Linked DNA regions of Tribolium castaneum. The protein of the gene in region 1 binds, or shares a complex with, the protein of each later gene. Links are inferred from orthologs where the notes say so. Each region holds a gene or a part of one and is shown in the gene's direction. Other genes may lie near its edges. The genes, in order: U5 small nuclear ribonucleoprotein 40 kDa protein, RING-type E3 ubiquitin-protein ligase PPIL2, Sf3b2, LSm7, SNRPG, U6 snRNA-associated Sm-like protein LSm5 and holn1.

What was found.
Region 2: U5 small nuclear ribonucleoprotein 40 kDa protein (region 1) and RING-type E3 ubiquitin-protein ligase PPIL2 share a complex: the UniProt entries of both Homo sapiens proteins name them as parts of the minor spliceosome. The link is inferred for Tribolium castaneum from reciprocal best matches to the Homo sapiens genes SNRNP40 and PPIL2.
Region 3: U5 small nuclear ribonucleoprotein 40 kDa protein (region 1) and Sf3b2 share a complex: the UniProt entries of both Homo sapiens proteins name them as parts of the minor spliceosome. The link is inferred for Tribolium castaneum from reciprocal best matches to the Homo sapiens genes SNRNP40 and SF3B2.
Region 4: U5 small nuclear ribonucleoprotein 40 kDa protein (region 1) and LSm7 share a complex: the UniProt entries of both Homo sapiens proteins name them as parts of the U4/U6-U5 tri-snRNP complex. The link is inferred for Tribolium castaneum from reciprocal best matches to the Homo sapiens genes SNRNP40 and LSM7.
Region 5: U5 small nuclear ribonucleoprotein 40 kDa protein (region 1) and SNRPG share a complex: the UniProt entries of both Homo sapiens proteins name them as parts of the U4/U6-U5 tri-snRNP complex. The link is inferred for Tribolium castaneum from reciprocal best matches to the Homo sapiens genes SNRNP40 and SNRPG.
Region 6: U5 small nuclear ribonucleoprotein 40 kDa protein (region 1) and U6 snRNA-associated Sm-like protein LSm5 share a complex: the UniProt entries of both Homo sapiens proteins name them as parts of the U4/U6-U5 tri-snRNP complex. The link is inferred for Tribolium castaneum from reciprocal best matches to the Homo sapiens genes SNRNP40 and LSM5.
Region 7: U5 small nuclear ribonucleoprotein 40 kDa protein (region 1) and holn1 share a complex: the UniProt entries of both Homo sapiens proteins name them as parts of the U5 snRNP complex. The link is inferred for Tribolium castaneum from reciprocal best matches to the Homo sapiens genes SNRNP40 and CD2BP2.

What each region holds. Positions count from the first base shown.
Region 1 is NC_087399.1:11,299,474-11,303,441, reverse strand, and holds the start of U5 small nuclear ribonucleoprotein 40 kDa protein, read left to right. Parts: upstream 1-1,168; 5' UTR 1,169-1,266; coding exon 1,267-1,377; intron 1,378-1,425; coding exon 1,426-1,555; intron 1,556-3,968. UniProt on the Homo sapiens protein: Required for pre-mRNA splicing as component of the activated spliceosome. Component of the U5 small nuclear ribonucleoprotein (snRNP) complex and the U4/U6-U5 tri-snRNP complex, building blocks of the spliceosome.
Region 2 is NC_087395.1:15,994,907-15,998,979, forward strand, and holds the start of RING-type E3 ubiquitin-protein ligase PPIL2, read left to right. Parts: upstream 1-1,273; 5' UTR 1,274-1,388; coding exon 1,389-1,420; intron 1,421-1,474; coding exon 1,475-2,432; intron 2,433-2,472; coding exon 2,473-2,624; intron 2,625-3,789; coding exon 3,790-3,979; intron 3,980-4,027; coding exon 4,028-4,073. Other genes in the region: Ubc2 (ubiquitin-conjugating enzyme E2-24 kDa), read right to left, coding at 86-548. UniProt on the Homo sapiens protein: Has a ubiquitin-protein ligase activity acting as an E3 ubiquitin protein ligase or as an ubiquitin-ubiquitin ligase promoting elongation of ubiquitin chains on substrates.
Region 3 is NC_087396.1:14,198,314-14,202,572, reverse strand, and holds the start of Sf3b2 (splicing factor 3B subunit 2), read left to right. Parts: upstream 1-1,459; 5' UTR 1,460-1,606; intron 1,607-1,730; 5' UTR 1,731-1,765; coding exon 1,766-1,865; intron 1,866-1,916; coding exon 1,917-2,143; intron 2,144-2,195; coding exon 2,196-2,377; intron 2,378-2,428; coding exon 2,429-2,630; intron 2,631-2,683; coding exon 2,684-2,860; intron 2,861-3,433; coding exon 3,434-3,666; intron 3,667-3,803; coding exon 3,804-4,158; intron 4,159-4,212; coding exon 4,213-4,259. Other genes in the region: uncharacterized protein LOC103313715, read right to left, coding at 1-1,093. UniProt on the Homo sapiens protein: Component of the 17S U2 SnRNP complex of the spliceosome, a large ribonucleoprotein complex that removes introns from transcribed pre-mRNAs.
Region 4 is NC_087399.1:1,125,679-1,128,223, reverse strand, and holds LSm7 (U6 snRNA-associated Sm-like protein LSm7), read left to right. Parts: upstream 1-1,444; 5' UTR 1,445-1,577; coding exon 1,578-1,604; intron 1,605-1,658; coding exon 1,659-1,973; 3' UTR 1,974-2,045; downstream 2,046-2,545. Other genes in the region: ENGase (cytosolic endo-beta-N-acetylglucosaminidase), read left to right, coding at 1-325, 512-984, 1,036-1,153; glucose-induced degradation protein 4 homolog, read left to right, coding at 2,406-2,545. UniProt on the Homo sapiens protein: Plays a role in pre-mRNA splicing as component of the U4/U6-U5 tri-snRNP complex that is involved in spliceosome assembly, and as component of the precatalytic spliceosome (spliceosome B complex).
Region 5 is NC_087395.1:18,416,593-18,418,805, forward strand, and holds SNRPG (probable small nuclear ribonucleoprotein G), read left to right. Parts: upstream 1-1,200; 5' UTR 1,201-1,328; coding exon 1,329-1,360; intron 1,361-1,405; coding exon 1,406-1,553; intron 1,554-1,608; coding exon 1,609-1,659; 3' UTR 1,660-1,713; downstream 1,714-2,213. Other genes in the region: zinc finger Ran-binding domain-containing protein 2, read right to left, coding at 164-844. UniProt on the Homo sapiens protein: Plays a role in pre-mRNA splicing as a core component of the spliceosomal U1, U2, U4 and U5 small nuclear ribonucleoproteins (snRNPs), the building blocks of the spliceosome.
Region 6 is NC_087394.1:33,640,770-33,643,116, reverse strand, and holds U6 snRNA-associated Sm-like protein LSm5, read left to right. Parts: upstream 1-1,225; 5' UTR 1,226-1,362; coding exon 1,363-1,405; intron 1,406-1,508; coding exon 1,509-1,705; intron 1,706-1,787; coding exon 1,788-1,817; 3' UTR 1,818-1,847; downstream 1,848-2,347. UniProt on the Homo sapiens protein: Plays a role in pre-mRNA splicing as component of the U4/U6-U5 tri-snRNP complex that is involved in spliceosome assembly, and as component of the precatalytic spliceosome (spliceosome B complex).
Region 7 is NC_087402.1:7,512,643-7,515,392, reverse strand, and holds holn1 (CD2 antigen cytoplasmic tail-binding protein 2 homolog), read left to right. Parts: upstream 1-1,220; 5' UTR 1,221-1,258; coding exon 1,259-2,203; 3' UTR 2,204-2,250; downstream 2,251-2,750. Other genes in the region: Etf-QO (electron transfer flavoprotein-ubiquinone oxidoreductase, mitochondrial), read right to left, coding at 2,270-2,750. UniProt on the Homo sapiens protein: Involved in pre-mRNA splicing as component of the U5 snRNP complex that is involved in spliceosome assembly.

The sequences.
Region 1 (3,968 bases):
TAGTTGCATCACACTCTCCGTAGGCACGGAAGTAAATATTTTAAGTAAAAATTAATTAAAATGAGTTATAAAAACAGGATATACATATTCTGGAAGAAACGTACGTAAATATTTGCAAATGTTTAGGCAATTTTTTTGGCATGCAATCAGTGTTTTAAGTTTTTTCTGTAATATCGTCTAAGAGGAAGAAATCATTAATCAATGTCGGTCTGTTAACAAAATTCTACGTTTAAAAAAGGCACAGATAACATAATTTTCCAACAAATTTGGGATTTTCGATTAATGATTTTTAGTGTCATTTTAAGAGTTTTTTTACAAACTGATTTATTTTAGAGTTTAAATGAGTTCAAAAATTGAGCAAAATAAACCAAAGTCAAGTCAATTTTTAGTTAATTTAAGGATTTTCACGGTGTTTTTTCACGAAAAAAAGTGCTAAAATATTAAATAAACATCTGAAAATAGACAAATAACATTATTTTTAACACGATTTAACAACCTTTTGGATTGTTTTGCCAAAATTACACAAAAAACATTAGTATCTAGTATCTAATTTTGATCAAGTTTGCTGATTTTTAAGTTTCTTCTGACAGAATTTAAGAAAATATGTAGTTTTTAAGTCGAAACTTTACTGAATCAAACAAAGCAGACTATAATAACGACTATAATTTGGAAGATATCATTCTTATCAATCTATTTTAGTAAAATTACGCAAAAAAGATGTTTGTAGTTTGAAAATGAGCCTAAACTCCGGGGGTTCCTCCTAAACTTAGGAGATGAAACAAGATATAAAATTACAGGAGTTTCTAATCCCAAAAAATTAGTACGACACACTAAAAATGATGGCGCAATAATGCAACAGTCTTATGGGGTTGTACCTCAAATATTTGCCAAGAGAAACTTAATTGTGTTTCAGTGTTGCAAATTACTAACAAAAATCTGTTAGTACCGGGAAAATACTGACAATTTTAGAGCAAAAAAGTAATAAGAATTACGCAAAGTGAGTTAAGTGAGCTAATATTAATCGTTTTCGAAATTTTGGCAAGTAAAAAACCAAATAATTTTTAGATATCGACATTGGGAAACCATTTCATTGTTGTCAAACATTTATTCCAAAGGAGATAACTATTTGTTTTATATAATTGAAACAGGGTATACAATCAAATCGTACTTCGTGCTCTCCACCAGAGGGCGCTTATCGCTTCGTTTTGTTGACGCTAAAAAGTGAGGTTATTGTTTTCCTCCCAATTTTTGTTTAAAACACCAAAAATGGTTGTTGAGAAACGTCGAGCCGAAGATTCATCATCTCTAGTCCCCGTAAGCAAAAAATCGAAAAATGAAGTGGCCACATCGAACAAAAACAAATCGGTCTTACAAGCGGTTAGTAACACTTAACCTCAAAAACCCTCCTCAAATCATGTATTTCAGGCCCCTGCGAGAACTTCCAATCTATTTGCCCCCATTATGTTACTGGAGGGCCACGAGGGTGAGATTTTCACAGTGGAATTCCACCCTGAGGGTCAATATGTAGCTTCATCAGGTTTCGACCGTAGAATTTGTAAGTTGTTTTTTTTGCAATGAGGTTCAGCCAAATAGGTCTTCATATCAAAATTTTGGAGGATTTACTTGAATATCTAATATAGTAATTTGAAGTACATAGAGGGTGTCTTAAAATTAACGCCCGTGCGTTGGGAATTTGATTCAGGGGGTTAACATAATTCGAAAGTTAAGAGTAAAAAATTTTCAATTGTTATTGATAAAAATGTAAATAATAAGCTTAAAGCTGTTTTTCCAATTGTTTGTGCAACATAATTCATCAGTTGATGTTAGCAGGGCTGAGCCATGCCAATTGGCCGCCTGTGTGCAGGTTCCAATAGTAGTTAAAAATTACCAAGTTAAATAAATGGAAGCAAATGTTCATTTTTAAAATATTCTGAACTAGTTTATTTATTCAAAAATAAAACTATTTGTAACAAGAATATTTTTAAATTTTGTACAGGTACATTAGCTGTTAAAAATAATTTGATAACTACAGTTCATTCTTTTTTATAATTAACTGTCAGTGTCAAAATTTTGATAAAGACCAGACTGTATCACACCAAAATCTCATGTCTAATCACTTTCGAAACTAGCTGTATTCTGTATTTGACATTTTACACACCAGATTTGACATTCGGGACAATTTTTGCAGCCAATGAAATTTGAATTCGTTAGTCTTTAGAATTTGTTAGCCTTTTAAAAAAATGTGTTGTGCGTGTTGTAACTTAAAGACCATTAAATTAAATTTGCCAGGTAAAAATTAGTACCATCTTAGTAAAAATTACTATTTATGGTAATACTAACCTGACGGCTCTTTGACAGTTGATTATAAAAAAAATCGACTATATGTATACACGAATTGTTATTGCTTTGTTTTATCAGGGGTGCATGTTTTTTATTTTTGTTTTTTAACTAATATGAAAACAACCTAAAAACAAAAAAATAAGGAAAAACAAACAATCGTTCTTATAAAATAAAGCCAAAACAGAAAAATAAAGCCCTTGTGTAAAATTATTCATAACTTTTTTACCTCTTTCATTTTTTTATTCTTTTTGTTTTTTGATTTTTTGCTCCATTTGTTTGAATTTTATTATACAGCGTGCTCAAAAACTGGCGCACCAACTCATTGGTGTGTGGTAGAGAACTGGTTACATATAAAGGTAAAAATAGTAAAAAATTCTTTGTATTAAAGTTATTGATAAATAACGGATTTTGGATAAATGATATGTGGCAACGTTGTCTAACAGTCATGATCGCAACAGAAGTTGAGCAAGAATAAAAATAAATTATTTTTGAAACGGTTTCCTAGGAAATAATTGCCAGTGTTGGCACATTTACACATTGCGATTTTTTGGATGAATTTTAATTTTTTTAAATTAAAAAAACTGCTAAAATCTGATAGTAAATTTGAAAATAATTATTCATCGTTTTGTTACGGAACGATTACTTGGTATGAAACATAAATACATAAAAAAAATAATGAAAACTAAAGAAGTTAACACAATAAGTTTGTAGCTCCAGATTTTTCAAAATATGACTTTAGGAATTTTTTAAACATTTTTCCCGTAATCTGCACTTGCTTCTCAATAATGTACCACTGAGTTGGTGCGCCAGTTTTTGAGCACCCTATATTTATCAGAAATATGAAGGAGTGTAGTACTAAAATAGTAAACAAAAAAGTTGGTGGCTATTTAAAATGTTATTTTAACATGTCTTTTCTCAATAACTGGATGTCAAAGACTAGCGTTTCTAAAAATAAAATTGATTTGTGTATTGAAAAAAATAAGCCATAACTAAGATATAAATTTTATGTGTTATATTAAGTTTACTCTGTAGAATAATTGGACAGAAAATTTTATGGTTTCATTCTAGAATTTTTTAATTTTCTAGTCCGTATAAATGACTACTATTTAGTCATTTGCTAAGTAAAATGTTGACATTGCGTGGTAAAATAATCTAAATGCTGAGTGGTAATTATTTATCTATTTTTAGCGATATTTGGCCAACCAGTTTTGCAAGTTATTTGTGCGTTAGGTATTTTACAGGGTTCAATTTTTGTATTAAAGCCCTCAACTTCGTTTCGAGCTTCAATATTAAAACTTCACGCTGTAAAATTTTACCTACTACAGGTAAATTGTAAATAACTATTACTAGAAAGGCTATCATTCCCTAAATTTATGCGTGTAAGTTAAGACTCACCCTATATACGTCTGAACTTATATTCATTTAGGGATCTTCTCCAAAAAGGTTTCTAACTTTATTCAGAAGGAACATATGAGGATGTAAATAAAGAAAATTATCAATTATAGTTTTTCGAAAAATTTTATTTTTTTATAATAAAGGCAATACCAAATTCAAAAACGTCTTCCGCATTCAATTCAACAGAAAATTTTATGATTTTATTCTGTTTTTTTAAGTTGTACAATCATTTC
Region 2 (4,073 bases), on another chromosome or scaffold:
CGTTTTTAATCCAACAAGAATTTTAAAAATAAATGCGATTCATTGTTTTACTTGTTGCGATTACGATTAAGAGAAATTGACCCACCTGGGTTGCAGTCGGTGAGTAGGGAGCAGATAGATAAGAGGACCTTGGAGATGGTGAGGGCGGGCGACCAGTTGTCTTTCAAAATATCCAAACAGATGACGCCCTGACTGTTGATATTGCAGTGGTAGATCCTCGTCCTGAACGTGACTTTAGGTGGCTTGAAGGGGTACTCTGGCGAGAAGTGGATGTCCAGGAAGAAGACGCCGCCCTCGTAGACGGACCCCGGGGGGCCCAGGATCGTGGACACCCACTCGTAGAAGTTCTCCCCTTTGGGGCCCGCACTGCAGTTCGGCGGCGGGTCTAACGTGATTTCTGCTAGTTCTTTTTGGATTCTTTTCGCTGATGTGCCCAAGGCCTTTGACATTTTCTGGTTAGGCTTTGATTCTTTTGTTTCCTTTTGATCACCGACTGCTGCTTGACCGCCTCGACCACGGCCTGATCCGCTAGACCCAGCTGAAGACATCGAGCTAAACAAAACAAAAAATCACCTCTTTGTTCCTCCCGGCGCTCGCCGGGGGCTGACGGGCGACCGTGCGAGAGAGTCACCTCAAGCAACAATGGGGTTCAATGTCTGATTGCGATCGCCGGGACAGGTAACCGATTATTGCGACCCTTCTCAAAACCAAAATTGATTCCTGTCAGCTAAGTCGGCCATTTTGATTTCAAGCATTACACAAGCCGTAAATTTCCATTAAATTGGGAAAAACGGGACGGAATTCAATAATTATCGATTAAAACACAACGCCGAACCCGAAATTACTGTAATTTCGATACGATATCGCTTTTATTGGGCGATATTTACGGCACAAGTTGACGATTTTTTTCAGCGCCTACTCGGCTAATACGCGCATAAACGGCCCTAATCGAGTTTCAGGAACGTGAAACTGGCATTGAACGGGAAATTTCAGCAGCAATTACACTTACTTGTATTAATTTTTGCACTAAAAACTGAAAACAATTCACTCCCTTTTTGCTAATATCGGCTCATGGCGTACTCGCTGAGCACTCAGGCCTGCCACCATACTACCGGAAATATGCAAAAACTGCACAGCCCAAAAACCTGAATTTCGATTATTTGCAACAAAACCGCCCTGTGCCACACCCCCAGGGCGTCGGTCGCCAACACCTCGCCGAAAATTACCAAAAAATTGCGGATTATTTTTTAAAAAATTCAAAATCCTTTGCACCCATCTAGGGGCATGAAGAGTGCGCGTGTTGTCTACCTGTTGTTGTGACAGCGAGCTAACCTCAAAGTCGTGTGATTTATATTTTTTAATTTTACCTCTTTACAAGTTACAGCAAAATGGGGAAGCGCCAGCACCAGAAAGACAAAATGTAGACCTGTCCAAAATCAGTTTCAAGTGCGTAATTAACGCAATTTTGTTTAAGGTACTTGACGTACACAGAGTGGACCACTCTTTACGGGGGCAAAAAATCGGGTTATACGACCGCGGAGGAGGACTATTTTAAGCGGCTCCCGTTTGACCACTGCTGCCTGTCGTTGCAACCGTGGGAAATACCCTACTGTGACTTGGACGGCAATATTTTTGATTTGGAGCCTTTGCTCCCCTTTTTGAAGAAGTTCAAGATAAACCCAGTCACGGGAAAGCCTCTGGATTTCAAGTCGTTGGTGCAGTTGAATTTCCACAAAAATGAAGAAGGCGAGTTTGAGTGCCCCGTCCTTTACAAACAATTCACCAAAAGCTCCCACATTGTGGCGATTGCCACCACTGGAAACGTGTACTTGATGGAAGCAGTGGAACAGCTTAATATTAAGAACAAAAACTGGAAGGACTTAATCAGTGATACGCCCTTCGAACGCAAGGATATCATCATGTTACAGGACCCACTAGACTTAAATAAGTTCAACATTTCCAACTTCCACCACGTCAAAAACAATTTACGAATCGAAACCGAGGAGGAAATCAAGGAGAAGAACGACCCTCAAGGCCACTTGAAAAACGTGAACCCTGAAACAAAATACACCCTTGAGGAGCTAAAACGGGACTACAAAGAGCCAACAATTGAAATAAACAAAGTCGAAGTTAAGGAAAAGGCGGACAAGTTCAACGCTGCCCATTATTCAACGGGGGCTGTGGCTGCGAGTTTCACCTCAACAGCGATGGTCCCCCGATTGGTGCACGAAGCCGCAGTGAAGCACGAAGATGAGGTGCGATACGACAGAGTCAAGAAAAAAGGCTATGTGAGGTTAATCACGAACTTGGGGCCCCTCAACTTGGAGATTTACTGCGACGAAGTGCCACGTGCTTCGGAGAATTTTATCAGGCATTGTGCGAGTGGCTATTACAACGGGACGAAATTTCACAGATCTATTCGGAATTTTATGGTAGGGACCCATCATGGGGGCTAAAACTAACGAAATGTAGGTTCAAGGGGGCGACCCGACGGGGACAGGGACTGGGGGCGAATCCATTTGGGGGAAGAAATTCGTTGATGAATTCAGGCCCAATTTGCAACATGTGGGGCGAGGGGTCTTGTCTATGGCCAACAGTGGGAAAAACACAAATGGGTCACAGTTGTATGTTTTACGCAGCCTTTGACTTTGAAGTTAAGTTGGCAACAATGGCAACAGTCAAATGTTAACTTTAATAGTCAATTGTCGTTTGAAATGTCAAAGTGACAAAAAAACTCATTTATGTCATAACTAGGGAGGACTATAAGTTAGGAGATGAAATCGCAGGATTTTCTGAACCTAAAAAATAGTACGGTGGACTAAAAATGAGGGCGCTTTGAGCGTTATACTGTCTCGGCGCCAAATCGTTTTAAATTAATTTAAATTCAACCAATGTTGAGCTTTGCACCCTTAAGTCTGAGAAAAACTGACGACTAAAATGTTTGTGATTTTTTTTTAAATCTGCGCTTTGTCTCGTATTTTTCAAGACGCTGCAAATACGGTTGAAGATACAAAAAAAGTGTAAGGAACAAAATTGTAGAGAATTAAATTTTTTACAAAAAAGTCCACGACACCATATTTCTATTTTAAACGGTTTGGTTATAAACTAACTTTTCAATACTTGACCACTGGCAAAATGAAGCAAATTCGTCGCTTGAGCGTCTTTGGGCGATTTTGGGGCCTAAATGGTTGAAGATAGGGATATAGTCCCGCGGACTTTTTTGTAGGAAATTTAATTGTCTACAATTATCTTTCTAACATTTTTCTTGCATCTGTAACCGTATTTGCAGAGTTGTCAAAAATATGAGTCAGAGTGCAAGTTGGTAAAAGTTTTTATTTTAATATAGTTTAAGATAAAATTTTTGCATTACGTTTATGTCCTACTATTGCGAATTTAATGCTCTATCTGCCTGTATTTTTTTGTTTGTCATGTGTTAACCGTTATGCAAACACAACCATTTTTTCAAATTCATTGCACTGAAAATTTAGACGGTAATGGAACATCTGCGCTCTCTGGCGACATTAACGGAACTATCGAATACAGGAACGTTTTATTTGTATGTCGTTTCATATCCTAACTTGTTTATATCCGTAGCCATAACTTTATTTTTTACAAAAAAAATGAGTAAATTTTCCCCATACTTTTTCCAAACTTTTAATGATTTAATGAATACACAAACTGAAGTATTTTTCATGATATAACGGGAAATGCCAACGTCCAGTTTTGCCAACTTAATTTCAAACTCAGCCACTGAGCAATAATCAAAAATTTAATTGTTTTTTTTTTTAGTTTCATAACATACAGGTCGTGCAAGCACTTGAATAATAAGCACACGATTTTTGGTCGTTTAGTTGGTGGCATGGAGACTTTAAACGAAATGGAAAAAATTGAAGTGGACAATAAGGATAAGCCCATTGAGGATATTGTGCTTATAAGGGCGCAAGTTTTTGTGAATCCATTTGAAGAGGCGGACGAACAAGTGATTGTCTTATTCTGTTGTAATGTGTTATTTTTGGTCAATTTTTAGTTGGCGAAAGAACGCGAAGAGGAATTGAAAAGACAGAAGGAGGAAG
Region 3 (4,259 bases), on another chromosome or scaffold:
CAATGACAGGCACATTTTGTTTTTTGTCCTTTGATGTTTCAGATTTTTTTTCTTTTTTCGCCGTTGAAGCAACAAAATTAAATTTGGGCAAATCAATGGTAGGACTGATCTTCTCTGTAGTAGTCTTTTCCTGCACTTCAATGTAGCTTGAACTTCCCTCATCTTCATTCACAGGACTCAAGTTTACAGACTTGCAATTTTCAAAAGATTTTGAATCTTCAATTTCCCTAAACGAAGAAAACTTTCCTTTCCCACTTTCGTCCGCTTCCAAAGAAGACAAATTCTGTTTTTTGGTCTTTGGTGTCTTGCTTGAAGCAACAAAATTGGGGAAAGTACCATTGCTAGGACTATTTTTCTCTGTAATACGTCCATCTTGTGTACTCTTCTCGTTGACTTCAATGTAGCTTGAACTTCCCTCATCTTCATTTAAAGGGCTCAAATTTACGCTCTTGCAATTTTCTGACGGTTCTTCAAGAGATTTAAAATCTTCAATGTCTCTAAACGAAGAAAACTCTCCTTTCCCACTCTGTCTTTTGACCTTTGGTGTCTTGCCATGTTTATTTTCTTTTTTCACGTGTCCATCTTGAGCCATTTTCTCCGTGACTGTGATGAAACGTGAACTTCCCTCACCATCACTCACAAGATTTACAGAATTTTCGGAAGATTTCTCCTTCAAACTTTTTGTAGTGAGATCTAATGTCTCATCATTGCACTTGTCTTCCAGTTCACATTGCTTGGTACTCCTAAGAACTCTCTTAGCTTTGACGATTTTTCTTTTATTTTTTGGTACAGGTGGCGGCGAGATTTTTTGAACTTCCTTGAACAAAAAAGGGCTTCCTTTGTCACTTTTCCCGCTCTCATCGAACTCCAAACGAGGCAAATTCTGTTTATTATGCTTTGACGACGTTGGCTTAATATTTTCGTCTTCTTTTTCCACTGCAGAAGCATTAAAACTGAAGAAAAGCAAATCGTTCGTTTTTCTGACTTTTCGTCCACTTCTTGTTGCTTTGGCACTGCTTAAGGGGCCACTGGTGCTTTCCATTTCAGGTGGATTTAGTTTTTTATTTAAACGTCTGCTGGACCTCACTGACATTTTAATGCAAGCTATAAAACAATTTTTATGTAATTTTCGTATCAAAAAAACTCGGTTTTTACCTTTAACGTTGTGTTAAATCCAATTATTCGCTTTTTATAGTAACTTTACAGTAAACAAGGCACACAAATGACAAACCGACAACAAAACCGTTTTTTTGAATCTGACATTTGAGATTGAGATGCGTGATTGGTCCAAATTAGATTGGCATCTTGTTTGAAAAATAAATTGATTAAATATTTATAAATTATTGTATTTACAAGATGTTAATAGAGAAAGTTGTAACTAACTGGATAAATAACTACTACATTTGATTTATTCTGTATGAAAATTTTGGGAAATGTTTTCGCTTTTGCAGGAAATCGAGCTGTCGCGATTACGGTCGCATTCGCTCTAATTCCAAACAAAAATGTCGACCGAAACGTTGCTGAATGCCGCAATAAATTATTAATAATATTAAAAGTTTGCGGTTTTTCCTCATTGTAGATAAAATTTAACAGACTATCTGTTATAGTAAGTTCGCTTCTTGCTTTGATTCAAACATTTTTTAAGAAATTAGTATGAGAAAGAGGTTATATCAAATTGAGAAAAGTGCTTTTTAGTGTTAGAACAATTCCATAATCCCGTCTCCTTTCAGCTTACGGCTGCAACAAGCACTGATTCTACTGACAAATGAATCCGGATCAGCTACAAGAGGGTGTCCCGGAGCACCCTGTGCCCCACCAGGAAGGGATGTTTGGGTCAGGTATGCAAGGGTGGGCTGGTGAACATGGTAATTGATTGTTTTCAACCAGTTTGTTTATATCGCATTGGACTATTTCAGGTGTTGGTGGTGAAAAACAACTCCCCTCATTGCTATCCCTAAAAGTGGATCCTCCTGATCAGATGATGGAGACGCCACCAACTGAAGTTGTTTTACCTCAAGTGTTGGAAGAGGTGTTGGCGTTAAAAAATCAGAGAGCGCGTGAACTAGAACGAGAAGAAACGGAAACAGTAGTTCAACAGCCGCAGACTCCTAGAGAGGCGCTTTGGGAGAAAGATGACAATATTGTAGCTTTTTTAATTTTTTGTATGAATATAGTTATAACGATTGTTTTTTTAGGAACCCGTGGTTGAAAATGAAGAAGAGAGTCAGGTGAAAGAGACCACCAAAATCAGTAAGAATAAAAAGAAGAAGAAAAGGAAGAAGAACAAGAAAAACAGGGAGAATGAACAGAATAAAGCGGCTGAAGAGGAGGAGAAAAAGGATGGGCAAGAGGATGGGAATACAGATGTGGAAGTTGAGTAGGTGTTTTTTCTATTTGTTTGACAAAATTGTTATGAGTTTAATTAAAGGTACGTCCAAGAGACGATTAGTCTTCTTGAACTGGCTCCACAATACCGGCAGTTTTATAGCATTTTTGACGTGTTTAAAATAACTGATCAAAAGCATGATATCCCACCCCCAGTTCTGGCAACGCCAACATCATTGTCAAGTAAATCAATGTTAAATAGCATAGGAGATCACTTTCAGGAAGAAATGGAAGATGGGGACGACGTAAGTGTTGTATTACATTATGAATAAAAAATATGTATCTATTTTTTTTTCAGAAAAAGCTTGACGATAAGTCAAAAATGTCCAAAAGAAAGCTTAAAAAATTGACGCGACTTAGCGTCGCCGAGCTTAAACAACTAGTCAGTAGACCAGACGTTGTAGAAATGCACGATGTAACAGCCAGGGACCCAAAATTGTTGGTCCAATTGAAAGCTCACAGAAATACCGTTCAGGTAACGATTATAATTTTCTCAAAAATTAAAAGTAATGCAGCCATTCCATGATTACGGACGGCACATAACTATTATTTTAAAAATGGCTTATTAAAAAAAAAAGATGGATTAACAATTTAAATTCATTTTGCCACTTCTAAAAGTTGTTATAAATAATTAGTTACGGATGGGACACAAAAAATTATGCTTTGTAACAATTTTATTATAACACGAAAATGTTAACAAAATTCAGGAACTACTAACAATTAATAAAAAAAGAGAATACCTTTTATTAAATTATTATTAAGAATAGAATTAAGTCGTAAGCTTTGGAAAAATAATTTTCGTCACTACTTCCAATTTGAAAACTCTTAATTTTGCGCACATATAGAATTCTGTAGCATTATTAATTATTATTTTCTTTAGACGAACTTTGTTCCAAACTAAACATTTTACTGAACGCATAAGAAGCAAGGATTTGAATTTTTTATTAAAAAGTGATGTTTTGGAACAAACTTAACAGATTTTTCATAATAATAAAGCAGATGAAAATATATGCGGAGTTAGCAATTGGCTGAATAATGTGTTTTTCAGGTACCACGTCATTGGTGTTTCAAACGAAAGTACTTGCAAGGTAAACGTGGTATAGAGAAACCACCTTTTAATCTTCCAGATTTCATTAAAAGGACTGGAATCATGGAAATGCGTGCGTCATTGCAAGATAAGGATGAATCCAAAACACTCAAAGCTAAAATGCGGGAAAAGACCAGACCCAAACTTGGAAAAATCGATATTGATTATCAAAAATTACACGACGCATTTTTCAAGTACGTTTTTTTTATTTTTGATAAAAGCTAAAATTGCTATTGTTTGTAATTGTGTATTCGTAGAGATTGGGAATAATTGAAAAAGATAGACAGCTGTTTATTTAGAATTTTTTTTATAATCTCATTGTTATTGTTAGGTGGCAAACTAAACCCAAAATGACCATCCATGGGGACCTTTATTACGAGGGCAAAGAGTTTGAAACCAGATTGAAGGAAAAAAAGCCTGGAGATTTATCAGAAGAATTAAGAACGGCCTTAGGAATGCCTGTGGGCCCTAACGCTAATAAAGTACCCCCACCATGGTTGATTGCAATGCAACGTTATGGTCCCCCACCCAGCTACCCCAACTTGAAAATTCCGGGATTAAATGCCCCCATCCCTGATGGTTGTGCCTTTGGGTACCATGCCGGTGGGTGGGGAAAACCACCGGTGGACGAAAATGGAAAACCATTGTACGGTGATGTGTTTGGAACAAATGTTACCAACATAGATGTAAGTATTTTATAATATTGTTTTATTGAATTTTGTTCAAATATCAATGTTTAGGACATTGGTGAGGACCCTTCCGTGGATCGCACCCTCTGGGGCGAGCT
Region 4 (2,545 bases), about 10 Mb from region 1:
AAATATCCACAATTCGATTGAATTTGCAAAGCATCGGACTTTGGACGTTTACGTGGGGGTGGATGTCTTCGGTCGCAATACCTTCGGAGGCGGTCAATTCAACTGTTTCAAGGCCGCCCAGATGATAAGGAGACACAACTTATCAATGGCGATTTTCGCGCCAGGCTGGACGCACGAAACGCTGCCCAAAAGTGAAAATCGGCAAAAATTCTTCGAGGATTTTATTAATCGAGACTCGGCTTTTTGGAACAGTCTGTGGCCCTATTTATACACGCATCCCATTACGAGGTTCTTCAAGACCAGTTTTTTCACTGGAGTTAACCAGGTATTTAACTAATTAATTAGTTATAACGCGCCCAAGTTCGTATTACGAAAAATAGTTCGCCCTTTCTCTCTCACTCTTTCCTATCGGAACTCCTATAGCTCTGTCCTTGTCTTATGTAAATAGCGGGTTATAACTTTTTAAGTAAAATTATAATAACTTAATAAAAACAAATGCATTAATTTTAAGGACGTCTACGACCTGTTCACGCAACACCCGCAACTCTCAAAAATCAAGCACCCAAAGTCACTAGAATGGGTCCCCAACCACCACGAAATACCAACACTGAACAATAAGTGCAACTGTTTACAGTGTGCTTTCACCAGTACTGGTGTTAGGTGTTTAATTACTAAAGAATTTTTGAATAGTTCAATATGTTACGTCCATCGTATTTTCACCTGTGATATTTTCCTATCTGGAGTTATCACAATTTACGTTTTGACGAAACTAGTACGCGCACAAGCCGCTCAATTAAGTTTAAATCTCCTCACTTCGGATAAAAACGGTACAATTAGAAAAATTAAATGCAATAGCACCGTCAAAGAACACCTAATTAAAAACTGTACGTTAATGGAAATCAATCCTTCGATAAACCCCTCACTTGTTAATCACGTCGTTAGAAGTAACGACGATTTGTTTCTACACGAAAATTTAACAATTGCGTAAGTCGGTCACACGTTTGGTAGGAAAAAAAAACTAATTAACTTTTTCAGTGTTTATCAGTTTGATTGTTCGCCGTGTACGTTATTGGAAATTGGATGTACGTTAGAGGAGGGAAAAGCGATTTATTTGTGCGGTCTTGGAGTCGAAGAGCACGTTCTAGTACTCTGACACAACTTTCGTGACCAACAGTACAAACAATTTTCTGCCATACTGTACATTTTGCCAGGGCTTGAAGCCCAAATAGTTAACATGTATTAATGCTTTAGTAACGCCCCAATGTGTAAATAACTTTTTTTGAATAAATGATAACCGAGAATTTTGCATTTTTCATTTGAAACTTTGTACCTCCACTGCGCAAGCAGTCCTCTACAAATTGTGTCCCAAAATTGCGTCAATTTTTACGTAATTCTTTAGAAGCTAAGAAAATTAATTACGAAATTGCTGGACTTTACAAACCGATAATTATTTTTTTTTATTTCAAAATTAATCGGAAGGTTCCGTGCGCATAGGAGACCATATGCACGCGTCACCTCCAAACGTATTCTAGGTTAGAATTTCAAAATCGGCAAAATTCCACAAATAAAGCCGAACAATGGCATCGTCAGGTGACAAATCAAAAGTACGTACCCCAAACTGCCCCATTTCGCCCCCTCAACCCCCATTTTTACCGTAGAATCAGAGCGGTGACCAAAAAGAGAAGAAACGTAAAGAGTCGATTCTAGACCTCTCTAAATACCTTGAAAAGACAATTAGGGTGAAATTTGCGGGCGGCCGAGAAGCTAGTGGTATTTTAAAAGGCTATGACCCCCTTTTGAACCTCGTCTTAGACAACACAATCGAATACTTGAGAGATCCAGACGACCCTTATAAATTAACAGAAGACACGAGGGCCTTGGGTTTGGTGGTCTGTAGGGGCACAAGTGTCGTGCTCATATGCCCCATGGACGGCATGGAGTCCATACAGAACCCCTTTATATCCCAAGACTAAGTTTTGTACCATAAAAATACCTCTAATTTGTAAGACGTTTTTTTGAATAAAACCGGTAAAAAATTAATAAAACTGTTTTATTGCACAAACTAGCTCAATAAATTAATTAGAAGTTTAGTTATAATGAGCGTAAGCAACCACCAATGCTTATAACCAAAAGTAATTAAAGCGTACACACAAAAAACGTGTTAATTACGCTTGAGATTAACGAATAATTGCCCCAAATAATAAATCTGGGTTGATTCAGTTGATTGCAAAAATGGGTTTTTCTGTCCAAAACTACGGTTGAGTACAGTCGCCCACACATTTAATGGCCCTGTTGCGCACCGAGCATGCGCAAAAACGCTCTGACCGACTCGGATGACTCACCGCCGCCATTTTCCTTTCAAAAAAGTGACATTGGTGACAGTTGAGTGCAAAAGTGCTTTAAAAATGCCGGTCAGGGTGGATATTACGCCTCCCCCGCCGGCCAATTCAAAACAGCCGGGGGTAACAAAGTCCCTCTTATACAACGGCTCCAAATTTCAAGGTTTCCAGAAATCGAAAGGCAATTCGTACGAAGTGGAAGTGGT
Region 5 (2,213 bases), on another chromosome or scaffold:
CAACTACAAAAACTAACAAATTTCGTTAGTCACTTGGTGCTAGAATCTATTCGATTTTCAGGTGAAGAAGAATGTAAATCAGGCACCAATAAAAGTAATGGTTTATTGTGTATACCTAACTCGAATTTACCACCATACAAAGCAGATTTATTCACCTAAATGTCTATAAAAATTTCGACTCGACTAATGACTTTTTTTTTTCGTGTTGTGGAGACCGTGACCTCGACTTAGATCTTGAGTTATTTTGTTTACTATTCGATTCCCCTGAATCCCCCCAATCCGACAGATCATATTTCGATAAGTCTCCGTCGTCGTCATCCTCCTCCTCGTCCTCCTCCTGCTCCTCCTCTTCTTCCTCCTCAACCTTCTTCTCCACCTTATCTACACTATTTTTCATCTCCTTCACCTCCTCACTTTTCTTCTTTTTCCTCCTCCCGAACTCGTCATATTCGTCGTCAGACTCGTGCTCCTTATACTCGACCACCCCCCTGTCGTTATACCCCCCACCGAACCCCGTCCTCTCCTCCACCTCCCCAAACTTGGGGGCGTTACAAACGTTACACTGCTGCCTCCGCGCCCAATTCACGTTACCGCATTTGTTACACTGCCAATCGTCGGCACTAAACAACCCGCGACTTTTCTCTGCCGCCGCTTTACCGATCTCGTGCCCCAATTTGCGCTTTTTCGCCGACACCGGCCCCCGACTTTTGTAACAACGGTTACAGTTGTTACGGCGGGCGAAATTTACGTTACCGCAGTCCGGACACGTCCAGTCTCCCTCGTTCGACGCCGACGGGCTTTTCAGCGACGGCGGCGGGGGCGGTGTCACTTCGGCCTCTTCCATGGGGGCGATACTAGACTAGAAAAGGCGTAAAGAGTAGTGGCTAGAAGGAGCACTACTAGAGGGAACGGAGGAGCAAATGTTAACATCTGGCGGTACTGGTACTGCTTTTACCTTTACTGAACCTTTTTCCAGCGGTTATTCCAACAAATTTGTTGATAAAAAAGTAACGTCAAACCGAAGATGCACCGAAATGTCACTAGCACAGAGGGATTTTCGACGCCAAACGTTGCCCACACCAATCAGGACACGATCACCAAAACAACAATTGCCTTATTTCAACGCAACACTTACCGATTTCTGATTACAGTTATCACCAAAACCAATGACTTGTTTTGTTTAATTTTTTGCATTAACTATACGTTAAAAATGTGAAAAAATTGGGACAACTGATCATGCCCTGTACTTAGCAACTGTCAAATCTGTCAGTTTGTGTCAAGCGTTTGAAGAGCGTTTTAAATTTTAAAAACTCAAAAAAGTACACAAAATGTCGAAAGCACATCCTCCGGAATTGAAAAAGTGAGTCTTGTTTTGTCGTAGAACGTATTACTAGTTTTTTTGCAGATTTATGGACAAAAAATTGTGTTTGAAGTTGAATGGGGGCCGACAAGTCGTTGGTATTTTGCGCGGTTTCGACCCTTTTATGAATCTAGTGGTGGACGAGAGTGTGGAAGAGTGCCGGGATGGCAAGAAAAACAATATAGGGATGGTGGTACGTTTCTTTTGAATTAGTGTGGATTTGAAATTTGAGGTTATGTTTATTACAGGTGATCCGGGGAAACAGTATCGTCATGTTGGAGGCTCTAGATAGGATTTAGTTTGTAATTTTGGCTTAATCGATAATTATTTGTAATAAAAGCGTTCGATTCTGACCGAGTTTTCTTTTATTGGGCTTGGGGTAGGGTGGAAATAAGTGAATTAGGGTAATAGGAGGGAAAGCATTATCGTCGTCGCTTTTGTGCGTTCATTCACAAAGAAATTCAATTCGTATTGTTTTCCTCGAGCGGTTTGTCCGTAACAGTGTATGAAAAGCTTAGAGAATGTCGCATGCGCGCCGCCACTGTTCCACCGTCGGGAAAATATTGGAAACGTTCGCTAGTTTGGCATTAAAGCGTCTCGGCGGCGACGTTCCAGTGAAAATTTTCGTGTAGTGACGAGTTTTCCAGAGCCACATCACAATCAGCGTCAGGTATTGCCCCCATTGACAGTTTTTCCGGGAAAACATCCGGATCGAAATTAACACCCACTCGATTTTAATGTCATTTCCTTGGAAAATGAGTTTTTTGAGGAACAGTCTTAAAGCAACCACCCTTGACTAGGTCAAAGGAACACGCTGAAATGTATTGCCCTATAAGATTTCGCTTTAATTAGT
Region 6 (2,347 bases), on another chromosome or scaffold:
GTAAATAACTTGTCTTTTATCTAAAAATGCCCATTTCAACGGCATATCCTGTCGTTTGCATGTCTTTTGGTTGCTTTCCTCCTGTGTACCTGTAATATGCTGAAAGTAAAAATGTGGAAATCCACTTGACATTTTCTTAATAGCTTTCAGGGAAATGGAGATGAGTTTACTTTCTTTCGCCACAAATATTGGAATACATTAGAACTAACGTGAACTTTATAAAAATCTGTGGAAACAAACACTTTGTGTGAGGAACGTTGGGAAAAATAGAATATGATTAATACAAATTCGTTCAGGAATTTCCTGGCCACATTCCTTGTTAGCGGTATATCCAAAGAATGTTTATTATTCCCATAGGTATATCGGTCGTGTCTAATCACAATTTCATTATAATAATCCACATAATGATAATGTCAACCACAGTGGTCAAGTTATCATAATAGAATATTGTTTGCTGCAAGTAGCATTTTAATGTGTTTATTTAAACAGCATGGACAGGGCAACTGAACTCTTCCAAGATAACTGTAACACGAATATAAATAAAAGAAAAACTCCTGAGAAATAAAAATAGCTAAGCATTCACATTCTGCTACAATTACCATTTATTCCCCGATATAAATTATACGCTCTCGAGCTGTCGTGTTATAAAAATAGAGCGTTATAAATCATATTAAAGAGGAATAAATCAATGTGTAGGGGTATAAAGCTCTTAGAGAACGTAAATATAGGCTAAACCAAAATAACACCATTGTTTCAATTAACTGGAGTATACTGACCTTTTATTACAAATTGATGATTTTAAATTCCAAAATTTACTCCACGAACATTATTGTCACGATTTTAGACACAAGTTCACTTAAAAATACGATTATTTATTACAAAAAACACAAAACCTACAACTACAACACACTCAACTCCCACCTCGGTCGGCATTTGACGAAAACGACAAACGACTGAAATACCGAAGAAAGCCGCAAAGCGCATGACCTGTTACACTGCAAGAGCTCCAAGCTCGCACATACGCGCTCCAAAAGAAATAAAAAATAAAAACAATTCATGCATTCCACGCCGTAAAAATGTAACCATAAGGCGGTAAAGTCTTAACAAACGTGTGCCACTACTTTTTGTAATTGTCTTAAGCCGTATTTTGATCGTTTATTAAATTGTTCGGTTCCGTAACGTAAGTCCTAGCTTGAGCTTTTTGCTGTAGTTGCGACACTAGCGCCATTAAGCTCCTGTCAAAATCCTTTTTACTGTCAAATTGATTACTTTTTGCTGTTTGTAAATGTAAACAGTTGTTTCAAATATTTATTGCTAATTTAAGAATTTATAATTATTTGAACGTATTATTAAACGGTCAGAATGACTTCCATGCCTGTGTCTTCTTCCACCTTGCTTCCGTTAGGTGAGTAAAGCAAAAAAACGTAACGTGTTTTTTTGGTTATCTGCCGGTGTTTGAGCATTCAATAATAATCATTAATTTATTAACGTTGTTTTTGCTATTGTAGAACTTGTGGATAAGTGTATAGGGTCAAGGATCCATATTATTATGAAAAATGATAAGGAAATCGTGGGGACGTTATTAGGCTTTGATGATTTTGTCAATATGTTACTGGAGGATGTAACGGAATATGAAACAACGCCTGAAGGAAGGAGAATTACTAAATTGGACCAAATTCTGCTTAATGGGAACAATATAACAATGGTACTTTATTTTGTGCTTCGTTTTTATGTTTAATATGCCATACTGTATCTAATTAATTCTTGAAACTAATTCAAAATTTTAGCTTGTTCCAGGTGGAGAGATGCCAGAGTAAGTCATTTGAATAAAGTATAAAATAAGGGCATTTTTGTGTTTGTTTAATACCCTTTTTTGTATCATAAAAAGCTCTTATTTTTGATGAAAACAACACTGTACATTTAAGGAGAGATGTGTTTGTGTCAAATTTGTCCTAACTGGGCCTTTTAACACAAAAAAATAAGTTGTTCAGAACATTACTTTGTAATCGCGGGTTAGGCAACCACCTTATCTTGTTGTATAATGTGTTGCCAACTACTCCAGGCCTTTACAATGAAAAAAGGAATGGAACGACGTTAGAAAATAACTAAAAGTCGTAAAAACGGTTCGTTCCAGTGAATTTTGCGGCTCATTTTACCATATATCAGCTTTTTACGCAATTTAGAACCCACTGGAGTTGCTAAAAGTCCATATGTTCGATTTTTTTTATCCAATTTTTTGTCTCGATTTCCGGTACCCGGAACATTTATATAGGTTTGGACCAAAATAGTTCCATAATTTGAAGAGAGCCGGCCAGCAGCATTTTTTTTTCACTAAAAAAAGTCGTAA
Region 7 (2,750 bases), on another chromosome or scaffold:
TTTCAAAAGTGAAACATACCTTAAAAACAGCTAAGGTGTTAAGTACAAACACAAATCATTAAATAAATAAAATATTTGTTATAGGTATACATATGTATAACTATGAACTCATGTAATTATATAGCTTTTAATAAAATATAATCATACTTTATTTCATAACGTATATCTATCTTAAACTTTAGAACTCATTTATCTTGAAAATTACTCCATATGTTAAAACGAACGATCGGTTACAACAAACAAATTCGGAAGTCACTTAGGTGTTCGTTGTAACTAAGTTTCACTGTATTATTAATTGACGCGCTTGTAGTATTTATGGCTCTACAATCTTGCATTAGGTGTAACTTAATAAACTTAAAATACAAAATTAATTAATTTTTTTTAATATCTGAACTTTTTTTAATCAGTCAATCAAATAGCAAATTCAGTTCTAGCACAAATTCTCTAAAAATGCAAGATAATTCTGAAAATCACATGGGAAAACCTGAAACAATTCTTAGTAATGTCACCAAACATGTACTAGGTATTAAATGTTCTCATTTATATTCTGAGATATGTTAAAAAATCAGCCTGTATTTATTTATGAAGTTTTAAAAAAAAAAGCGTAGCTATTTTGCACTTTTTTCTACAATATTAGTTGTACGTGTACGTTGTCGCTGACTTAAAAACTTTTTCTGTAGATATTTGCATTAGGTACTCAGGCTTGTTCTCTGTTTACTTATTGTGAATTTAATATAATATAATTTGAAACTATTAAAAACATCTTAAAACTCATTATTTCAACCATAAAAAATCAGAACCTTTAGTTTGCAATTTATTTAAAAAATAAAGCTTGTAACAAAAAAATTCTAAAATTCTGTCGTTCTGGGCTATAGCCCATTTTCTCCTTATGTAAATATGCGACTGCTAATAAGTAATGAGAGCATAAGAGAAATTCGTATTTGCACGTATTTGGAGGACATCTTTTTTGAAACACACAGTATAAACAAATTTTAAAGTAGCTTGTGCCATCTCTTGGATAGTTGCCAAACATACCATTTCAATTTTACAGTTTTTCTTAACTTTTTGGGTTTTTTACAATATATTTTTGAGTTGTTTATGTTTTAGTAATAAGCGTGGTGAAAAATTTGCGGTAAAAAAAGCTGATTATGATTATTTCCAAAAAAAACAAATATTAAAAAATTTAACCGTGGATACAAACCAAAAGTGCAGATCGGTTTTGAGAGCATGCGTGTTGTTTGTTTTGCATTTGTCAAAAATGTCAAAACGAAAATTCAACGAAGGCGATTTTTCGCAAAATAAGCGGCGCCAGGTGAAGTTTAACGCAAAAAAACATTCCTTGGATTCGGACGAAGAGGACGATTACGATGAGACCGCTGAAGAGCTCAACGCCGACGACATCGAGGGCGAAGAGGAGGGAATTTCGCGTCAGGTTGAAGGGGTCCGGATGACCGCCTTCAACATGAAAGAGGAGATGGAAGAAGGGCATTTCGACAAAGAGGGCCACTTTATTTGGAACAACGAGAAGGAAATACGGGATAATTGGTTGGACAACATCGACTGGCATAAAGTCAACAGTGACGATAAGTACCAGTTGGACCCCAACGAGAAAGGCTTGGGGGCCGAGAGTGATTCTGAGTCGGAAGCTGAGGATTTCGATGAGGTCGGTTTGTACAAAAAGATGCTCAACTACATGAAACCCAAAGAAACGGTCAACAAGTGTTTGAGGCGGTTAGGGGGCGATTTGAAGTTGTCCAGTGTCGAGAGACTGAAGCGCAAGAAGGCAGGGACTTTGAATTCGAATCAGGATGTGGCGGACATGACCGAGATCGCGAATAGTATATTAACGAAGACGGGGAACATGAACGTATACCAGGAGACTTTTGAAGAAATTACCAAAAAAATTGACGACCGAACGAAACCGAAAAACAGTGAGCCTGTTCTGGACATGTATGCTGACGACTTCGGCGACAAGGAGAAGGAGAAGATGGAGACGGCGTCAGTGTCAGGTAAACCAGAGCAGTTAATGTGGGAATTTAAGTGGGACCAAGACAAGGACCAAGTCGAGGGTCCGTACGACACCTCACAAATGTTAAAGTGGTCCAAAGAAGGGTACTTCAAGACGGGAGTGTGGGTGCGTAAGTGTGGCGAACAATCCAACTTTTACACCTCGAACCGGATAGACTTCGAGCTGTATGACTAACAGTGTTATAAAAATTTTATTATCAATATACATAAAAAGTCAAGCAATTTGCTTAAAGGCACTTAATTACATTCCGTTGTAAGCCGGGCCGCCACCTCCTTCGGGAACCACCCAGTTGATGTTCTGACTCGGGTCTTTAATATCGCAAGTTTTGCAATGTATACAGTTCTGGGCGTTGATTTGCAGCCTTTGACCGTCCCCACTTTCAAGCGGGACGAATTCGTACACTCCTGCTGGACAAAACCGGCCTTCAGGCCCGTCATAAATGCCCAAATTTTGCTTAACAGGAACGGTATCGTCCTTCAGGGTTAGATGCGGGGGTTGGTCACCTTCATGATTGGTCCCAGTCAGCGCAACGGAAGAGAGGAGATCGAAGCTGATTTTACCGTCAGGCTTCGGATAATCGATAGGTGTACAGTCTTTGGCCGGTTTGAGTCTCTTGTAATCGGGATCGCCATGTTTGAAAGTCCACGGTTCCATCCCCCCAATCATTATGGAAAATCCACTGTACATCACTCCTCCATACATCCCCAAAGGATTATGGAAG